Linked DNA regions of Macaca mulatta. The protein of the gene in region 1 interacts with the protein of each later gene in a biochemical or structural test. Links are inferred from orthologs where the notes say so. Each region holds a gene or a part of one and is shown on either strand. Other genes may lie near its edges.

Region 1 (3,823 bases):
AAATTGTGCTCAGTGGGAGGACTCCCAGGATGGGTAACCATAGAATACCACCCCCCGCCCCGAGGCTTCCCTTGAAGGTTTCCAGGAAGAAGAGATACGTTTTCACGCTTCATCCTGAGCCAGGGCTGCCTCCCAGCATGAGCACCTGTGACCTGGAGCAGCTTGCCTCTACTTCCTGAGGGCCTGGAGAGCTGTGTTTGTGAAGTGACGCCTGCCACGCACCTGGACAGCTGACAGTCTCCATCCTGGATTCCTTGCTGACTTTGTTCCCTGCTGTGCACTTGAATTTCGCACTCAGGCTGGTGGTCCACTTGTGTGTGATGACCCTCTGAGAAAGTTTTACATGTTTCCCATCTTGATACAGGTTTAATTCGGGGTCAGTTCCATTCATTACTTCACAGGTCAGGGTTGTGTTGATACAAGTCCAGGAGATCTTTGGTTCTGAGACCCTCTCTAAAAAGAAAATAAAGATCCAGTTCAATTTAGGCAATTTTCTGATTTTAATGAGCATATCTATTTATATAGTGGGGGATGGAGTCAGTTAGGGACAAGGGAACCATGTCAAAGACCTCTAGCACCTTTTGGAAATGATTTTATTTACAAAGAGCATTCAGAAAAAAATTATTTCTGATGACATTCATAGATACATTTTGCCACTAAATAATGTATCATATGTAATGTTTATATGCTGTCTTATACCTTAAAATGCTTTCACATGTATGATACCACTTAATCCTAACAGAGAGGCTGATGTTTTTCTTCCCATTTACAGAAAAAAATGTTCAAGGCTCTGAGAGGTTCAGTGAGTGGCCTTAGGGCACCATCTAAATAAAACATGGCAGTCAGGGTTTAGGAATATGGCTAAGAGGGTGCCTCGGGAGTTTGAGAAGGGCAATGCTTTAAGAGCAGCCAGGAACCCCATCCTGGAGGAATCGCCACATTGACATGTGAACGGGGACCTCGGATACTTCTGCCCCAACCAAGTTCCTGGAGCAGAGGGCCAGGTGGGTACATGTGAGCACGTGGGTGTCCAAGGAGCTCAAGGCTCTGGGGAAAAAGAGCACCTGCCTGGGAACCAGAGACTTGGTTCTGCCTTTTCCCAGCCCAGAGCTGCTCAGCTGCTCACAGGGTCTACACTGGCCCTCCTCAGAGCATCAGAAAAGGATCAGAAAAACATGCCCCACCTGTCACAAAAGGAGCAACATGTGGCAAAGTCCTGGGCAGATCATTAGGCACTGACATTATTAGTGGTAGTTCATGCATTCAATAATCACAAACTTCTTGCCTCTCCCGGAGAGAGACTGCATCATAAAAGGAAAATGCCTGGGCTTGACATTAGATGGCTCAGGTCTACATCCTAGCCCCATCACTTCCTAGCTGTGTGACCTTCTCTTTTTCCTCCTCCTCTGGTTTTTTTTTTTTTTTCTAATTCTTTGCTTTGTTTCCCCCAGACTTGCCACTTTTCCCTCTCAGTTTCTCTCCATTCATAATATAGACCCACTAGCTTATTTTTCAATGATTCCCTCCCACTCTGACTTCCAGACACCAATATCTTCCCCATGGAACATGACAGTCAAACTTCATTTATGTCCCAATATATATAGGCATGCAGAAATTAATTTAAAAGTTTTCTTCTCATCCCATGATGATCAGTTCTAAGATGCTATCGGCGTTACTGAGAAGGAAGAAAATGGAAAGTATCTACACTCAGCAACCAGTTAGTACATAGTCTAGGGGTTGGGTCATGAAGTTTGCCTGTCTCTTCAGAATGGATTTTTTTTTTTTCTACTTATAACAGTAACACAGTAACATGATTGTGATGATGGTTGCAAAACTGAATATACTAAAGGCCATTTTAGTATATGGACAAATTGAATGCTAGGTGAATTATCTCAATGAAGCTGCATGGAAAAAAAGAGAAAAGGCCATCATCCTTGCCAAAAAGACCTCTGAGTTTGAATCCTGACTTTGCTCCTGTCAAGCAATGAGACCTTGGACAAGCTGCTTCTGACTAGGTCTCTGTTTTCTTGTATTTAACAAGGAGATAATAACAGCCATGTCTCAGTATTGTTGGGAGCTTTAAGTAAGATCATGTAAGCAAGCACCTGACCCCTAGCTGGTAGCCACTATTTCCACCGCAATGCTAAATGCGACCCAAATGTGAAAACACCAGCATGGTCTCCCGCGTAGGGCTCACACTCAAAACAGGACACTCAAATTTTGTGCTGTTTGGAGTCCTGAGATCTGTGGTTTCCAGAGCCCATAATCAGGGGCCCTTTTGAGCGCCATGCTCAACCCCGCTACATTTCTACAAGGTGCTCCCACTCAGGGTTGCAGGACTAGGGTGTGGAAAGTTGTCACTGCAGGGGAGCTGACAGTGTCTGGGATTGCTGGACTGGGCAATCTGACACTGTCTGGGATTGCTGGTAGGCCCAGGTGCTGAAGACGGGGCTGGAGACAGAGAGGAAGAAGGAGGGGACCCTGCTTCTGGCGACATTTTCTGTGTGAAGCACAGAAATGCTTATTTGCTCACTGAATGGCTGGCCTGTGCTCATGCTGGGGTTCCTGTCTGCCTCCCCAAGCCAAGTGCAGCTTCCTCTTTTCCCTTCTTATCACTCCCTGCCCAGCATTCGTGGGCTTTCAACTTCAGTTATTGTACAAGTTGATAAAATATTTTTAAAAGTTTAAAGCAGATTAAAAATTACCCACAATGCCACCACTCAAAGTCAATAATGAATAATATTTTCATGTATATCTTTATCAGATATTTTCTATTTATGTGTACATATATAAATAATGTAATACTTCAGCTGGGTGAGGTGGCTCATGCCTGTAATCCAGCACTTTGGGAGGCTGAGGTGGGCGGATCACTTGAGGCCAGGAGTTCAAGAGTACCCTAGCCAACATGGTGAAATCCATCTCTACTAAAAATACGAAGATTAGCCAGGTGTGTTGGTACGCGCCTGTAATCCGAACTACTCAGGAGGCTGAGGCATGAGAATTGCTTGAACCCAGGAGGCAGAGGCTGCAGTGAACCAAGATTGCGCCACTGCACTCCAGGCTGGACGACAGAGTGAGACCCTGTCTCTCTCTCTCTCTCTCTCTCTCTCTCTCTCTCTCTCCCCTTCTCTCTCTCTCTCTATATATATGTAATATTTTTAAAATTAAAACTAGTTTATGTGATCTTATAGTCTGCCTTTTTCCCTTTATTGTGAAATTATATTATGACATTCTTTTTTAAATGAACATCAATAAATGCATATCTCCATCTTTTTAAAGGATGCATTCTTAATTTAATTGATTAATAAATTTCTGACTGCTGACTGTTCTAGCATTTCGCTAACATGAACAACGCAGTGACGGGAGTTGTGGAGTGGTACCTCCGTATACATTCACTAAGATAGCATCTTAGAACCGATCCAACCTAAGGCCTTCCATGGTTGAGAACTCCTTAGTTCTGAGTTGCTGGGATTAACCCCTTCCCTACCAGCATATGCTTCTAAGGAGCCCTCCACTGCCTCTTCAGCCTGCAGCAGCAACTCCCTCATGAAGGAAATGCAGGCACAACTACTGGAGTTTGAGAAGTTTGGAGGCTGGGTGCCGTGGTTCACACCTGTAATGCCAGCACTTTGGGAGGCTGATGCAAGCAGATCCTCTGAGGTCAGGAGTTTGAGACCAGCCTGACCAACATGGCATCTCTAACACAGTGAAACCCCATCTCTACTAAAAATGCAAAAAACTAGCCGGGCGTGGTGGTGGCGCCTGTAGTCCCAGCTACTTGGGAGGCTGAGGCAGGAGAATGGTGTGAACCCGGGAGGCGGAG
Region 2 (3,823 bases), about 220 kb from region 1:
AATGCATGTTCCTGTAGTAGATATGTAACCTTTGAGAACATAATGATTATTAACAATATTACAGAGCAGCACTGTGAATAGTTAAAACCATGGGCTCTAGAGCCAGACAGCCTCTACTCAAAGCCAGGTTCTGCCACTTACTAGCTGTTACCTTGGGCAAACAACTTAAACTCTCTCTCTGTTGGTTTCTCACCAGGAAATAGGGATAAGTGAAGATTGAATTAATTAACATATGTATTAGAATGGTGCTCAACACAGAAAGTGCTAAATAATGTTAGCTTTACATCTATAATGGGGTTTCTGTTAAAAATTGTAACTTGTTTTACATTTCAAAATTGTGAACCTTAGGTTAGTCACCACATCTGTGGTTTGAAAGCCTCCATGACACATTTAGTTATTTACTCACCACTGCTTGGGATACAGGTTTCCGGAATGATTGATGATGTTCTTTTAAATAATGGATTGCTAGCAGTACACTGTACTTTTTGTGGAAGATCATTTTCCATCTTAAAATATATACGGGTTGAGTTATGTTTACATTGCTCCAAAGGACAATCCCATGAGTACGTGTTAAGTTGTGGATGAGTGTTGTAATGCTCCGGTATCATGCACTGGACTTCAATGCTTCCATTAGTCAATGCACAAGTTAGTGTAGGAGATGGAAGAGGCTCTGGAAAAAAAAAAAGTGTAATATTTAGTACAGAAAATAGTAATATTTAGACTCATCATCTGCAAATTTATGAAGAGCTCCCAACTTCCTTATGAGCTTGAAAGGATGAGCAGACAAACTCCTTGAGCATCAAGGACTGAGAATTCTTTCTTTTGCTAGGTCAGACCTACCTGTTCAAATTTAACAGAATAAATTCAGACCCTTACATGGTTTTGCTCTGGGTCCCCACCCAAATCTCATCTTGAATTGTAATCCGCATGTGTCAAGGGAAGGACCTGGTGGGAGGTGATTGTACCATGGGGGGTGGTTTCCCCATGCTATTCTCATGATAGAGAGTGAGTTCTCATGACATCTGTTGGTTTAAAAGTGTATGGCAGTTCTCTCTCTCTCCTGCTGCCTTGTGAAAAAAATGCTTGCTTCTCCTTCGCCTTCCGCTGTGATTGTAAGTTTCCTGAGGCCTCCCCAGCCATATGGAACTGTGAGTCCATTAAACCTCTTTTCTTTATAAATTACCCAGTCTCAGATAGATCTTTATAGCAGTGTGAAAACAGACCAGTACAGGCCCCAAATCCCTTATCCTCAATTCTGAAATCAAAAAATCTCTGAAGCCAAAAGAGTCTTCACAAGTTGGTAGCAAAATCATTAAGCTGCAAACCCTGACCTGACCTGAATTAACACAAGGATTTATAGTCTTTATTTTCTCACTTACTTCAAATATTCATTATCGTTTCACCACAAAAATATTCCTGTGCTTGGCAGGACACAGTGGCTCATGGCTATACATACTCCCAGCACTTTGGGAGGCTGAGGCAGCAGGATGGCTTGAGGTCAAGAGTTCAAGACCAGCCTGGGCAACATAGCAAGACCCTGTCTTTATAAAAAGTTTAAAGATCAGCCAGCAATGATGGCTCCTGCCTATAGTCTCAGGTACTTGGGACTACTTGAACCAAGGAGTCTGAAGCTACAGTGAGTTATGATTGTGCTAATTCACTCTAGCTCACTGCACACACTGGGCTATGACTGTATCAGACTGAGACCTCTAAATATATAGGAATGAAATAAATACTTGTTCCTATGCTTGACCCACAGGGTGCTCCCCATAATTAAGTGGGGTGCTTAATATGCAGAGGAAATATCTTGTATTACCTTTCCAAAATGTAAAAAAGAAATTTTAATTCCATAACACATCTGACTCAAAGCATTTTGTGAAAGATGGAGCTACACAGAGCCTTGTCAGGCCTGCCTATTGGTTGGGTTGGCCCTATTAATAGGCAGCGCCGGGTGCAGCATGTGTCACAGACCTGCCAGTCCAGAGGCCTCACTCCCACCCTTCCTCTAAGAAGCGCCTCCTATTGGCTAAGGCAGCGTGGATCTATGAGTTAAGACACTAACATGTCACATTCTGCCATTGTTGCCCTTTAAAAGCCTCAAGGCTAATTACTTTGTCCTACTGGTCCTTTATTTGTTAATTCATATGCCTTCTTGCATTTCAGCTACCCTCCAGCAATTAATCATAAGAGGCTTGAGGAAACATGCAAAAACATATGTAATATACAACAATGGTCATGGTAGCACTGGGATAATAAAGTATTGATACATTATAAACATCTATTAGAAGAGCATCTAAGTAAATTTAGGTTCACCAAGATAATGGAATACTATGTTGTCATTTAAAATGATGTTTTATAATATAAAACAAGTTAATAGCTTATGCTTCAATTATAATCTGAAAAATAAAAGTGTTTAATGGTTCCCCCATCTTCTCCTCCTCCTCCTGAATTCCTTCTCGCTCAGTTAAATAATGTACCCAGCTGCCTTGGTAGAAACCAGAGGCACACACTGACTTCCCTTTCTACTTGGGGCTTCCTAGCTTTTAAGTTTAATCTAGCTCACATAAGTCCTTACATACTTCCTTAAGATTTTCTTAAATTAAAAAGACTTTTAATCATCTTTTAAGCAGTGGAATTTCTCTGAATTAAATCTTCAGTGCAATCCAGTCCAATGGATAAGAAGTTGCTCTAGTTGACTCAAAATTGAAAGCCTAGAGCCCTGCTCCCCTAACTTCCTGTGGTCCCTTTGCCAACCCCACCCAATAGCAGCCCTCAGGGGACTTCCAAGGAACATGCATCCCCAGAATAGTTCAAAAATGCCTGTTCTCAGTATTTCATATACTTATGCCTGCCTCTGTAACTAGGCTGGGCATTTCTCAGTGGCAGAAAACCAAGCTTTCTACTTCCTTAGAAATGGTCCTTTGAGGCCGGGCGCGGTGGCTCAAGCCTGTAATCCCAGCACTTTGGGAGGCCGAGGCGGGTGGATCACGAGGTCAGGAGATCGAGACCATCCTGGCTAACATGGTGAAACCCCGTCTCTACTAAAAATACAAAAAAAAAACTAGCCGGGCGTGGTGGCGGGCGCCTGTAGTCCCAGCTACTCGGAGGCTGAGGCAGGAGAATGGCGTGAACCCGGGAGGCGGAGCTTGCAGTGAGCCGAGATCGCGCCACTGCACTCCAGCCTGGGTGACACAGCGCGAGACTCCGTCTCAAAAAAAAAAAAAAAAAAAAAGAAATGGTCCTTTGAAGCATTTCTCAAATTTTAAGGTGCATAAGAATCACCAAGGGTGCTTGTTAAAAATACAGATTCCTGAGCCCCACCATCCCAGGTACGTCTGATGTGTGTGCCCTATTCGTTCTGTTACAGATTCTAATGTATTGATCTAGCTCTGCCAATGTCTAGTCTTTCATCCAGCACTTTCTGAACTGAACAGAGGTGCATCATCAGCCCCAGAGACTGTGCATCTTTGGAGGACAAAGACTAGGTATGCCTCACCTTTCAACCACGGCACCTGACATAACGCAAGGCACACAGATGGCTCCTCACAAGTAGTACTGGACAGATGGGGAGACAGATGGATAGAAGGATAGATTCAGAGAGACAGTCTTCAAACAAAATGTAAATTCTTCTACCAGCTACCGCCAAAGAGGTACAGTATGGTGTTTAGCATGGACTCAGAAGCCCAACTGCTTGAATTCATATCCCAGCTTCATGACAGCTAAGAGCCATTTGACATTGGACAAGTTACTTAAATCACCTGTGTCTAGGTTTCCTCCTTTCTACAAGGACACAAATAGCACTTACTCTATTAGACTGTAATGA

What was found.
Region 2: the proteins of CD2 (region 1) and CD58 form a complex in vitro, tested with the Homo sapiens proteins (3 studies listed by BioGRID and IntAct, with this or other methods). The link is inferred for Macaca mulatta from reciprocal best matches to the Homo sapiens genes CD2 and CD58.

What each region holds. Positions count from the first base shown.
Region 1 is NC_133406.1:123,521,768-123,525,590, forward strand, and holds part of CD2 (T-cell surface antigen CD2 precursor), read right to left. Parts: intron 454-3,823; coding exon 223-453; intron 1-222. UniProt on the Homo sapiens protein: CD2 interacts with lymphocyte function-associated antigen CD58 (LFA-3) and CD48/BCM1 to mediate adhesion between T-cells and other cell types. CD2 is implicated in the triggering of T-cells, the cytoplasmic domain is implicated in the signaling function.
Region 2 is NC_133406.1:123,743,427-123,747,249, reverse strand, and holds part of CD58 (lymphocyte function-associated antigen 3), read right to left. Parts: intron 671-3,823; coding exon 407-670; intron 1-406. UniProt on the Homo sapiens protein: Ligand of the T-lymphocyte CD2 glycoprotein.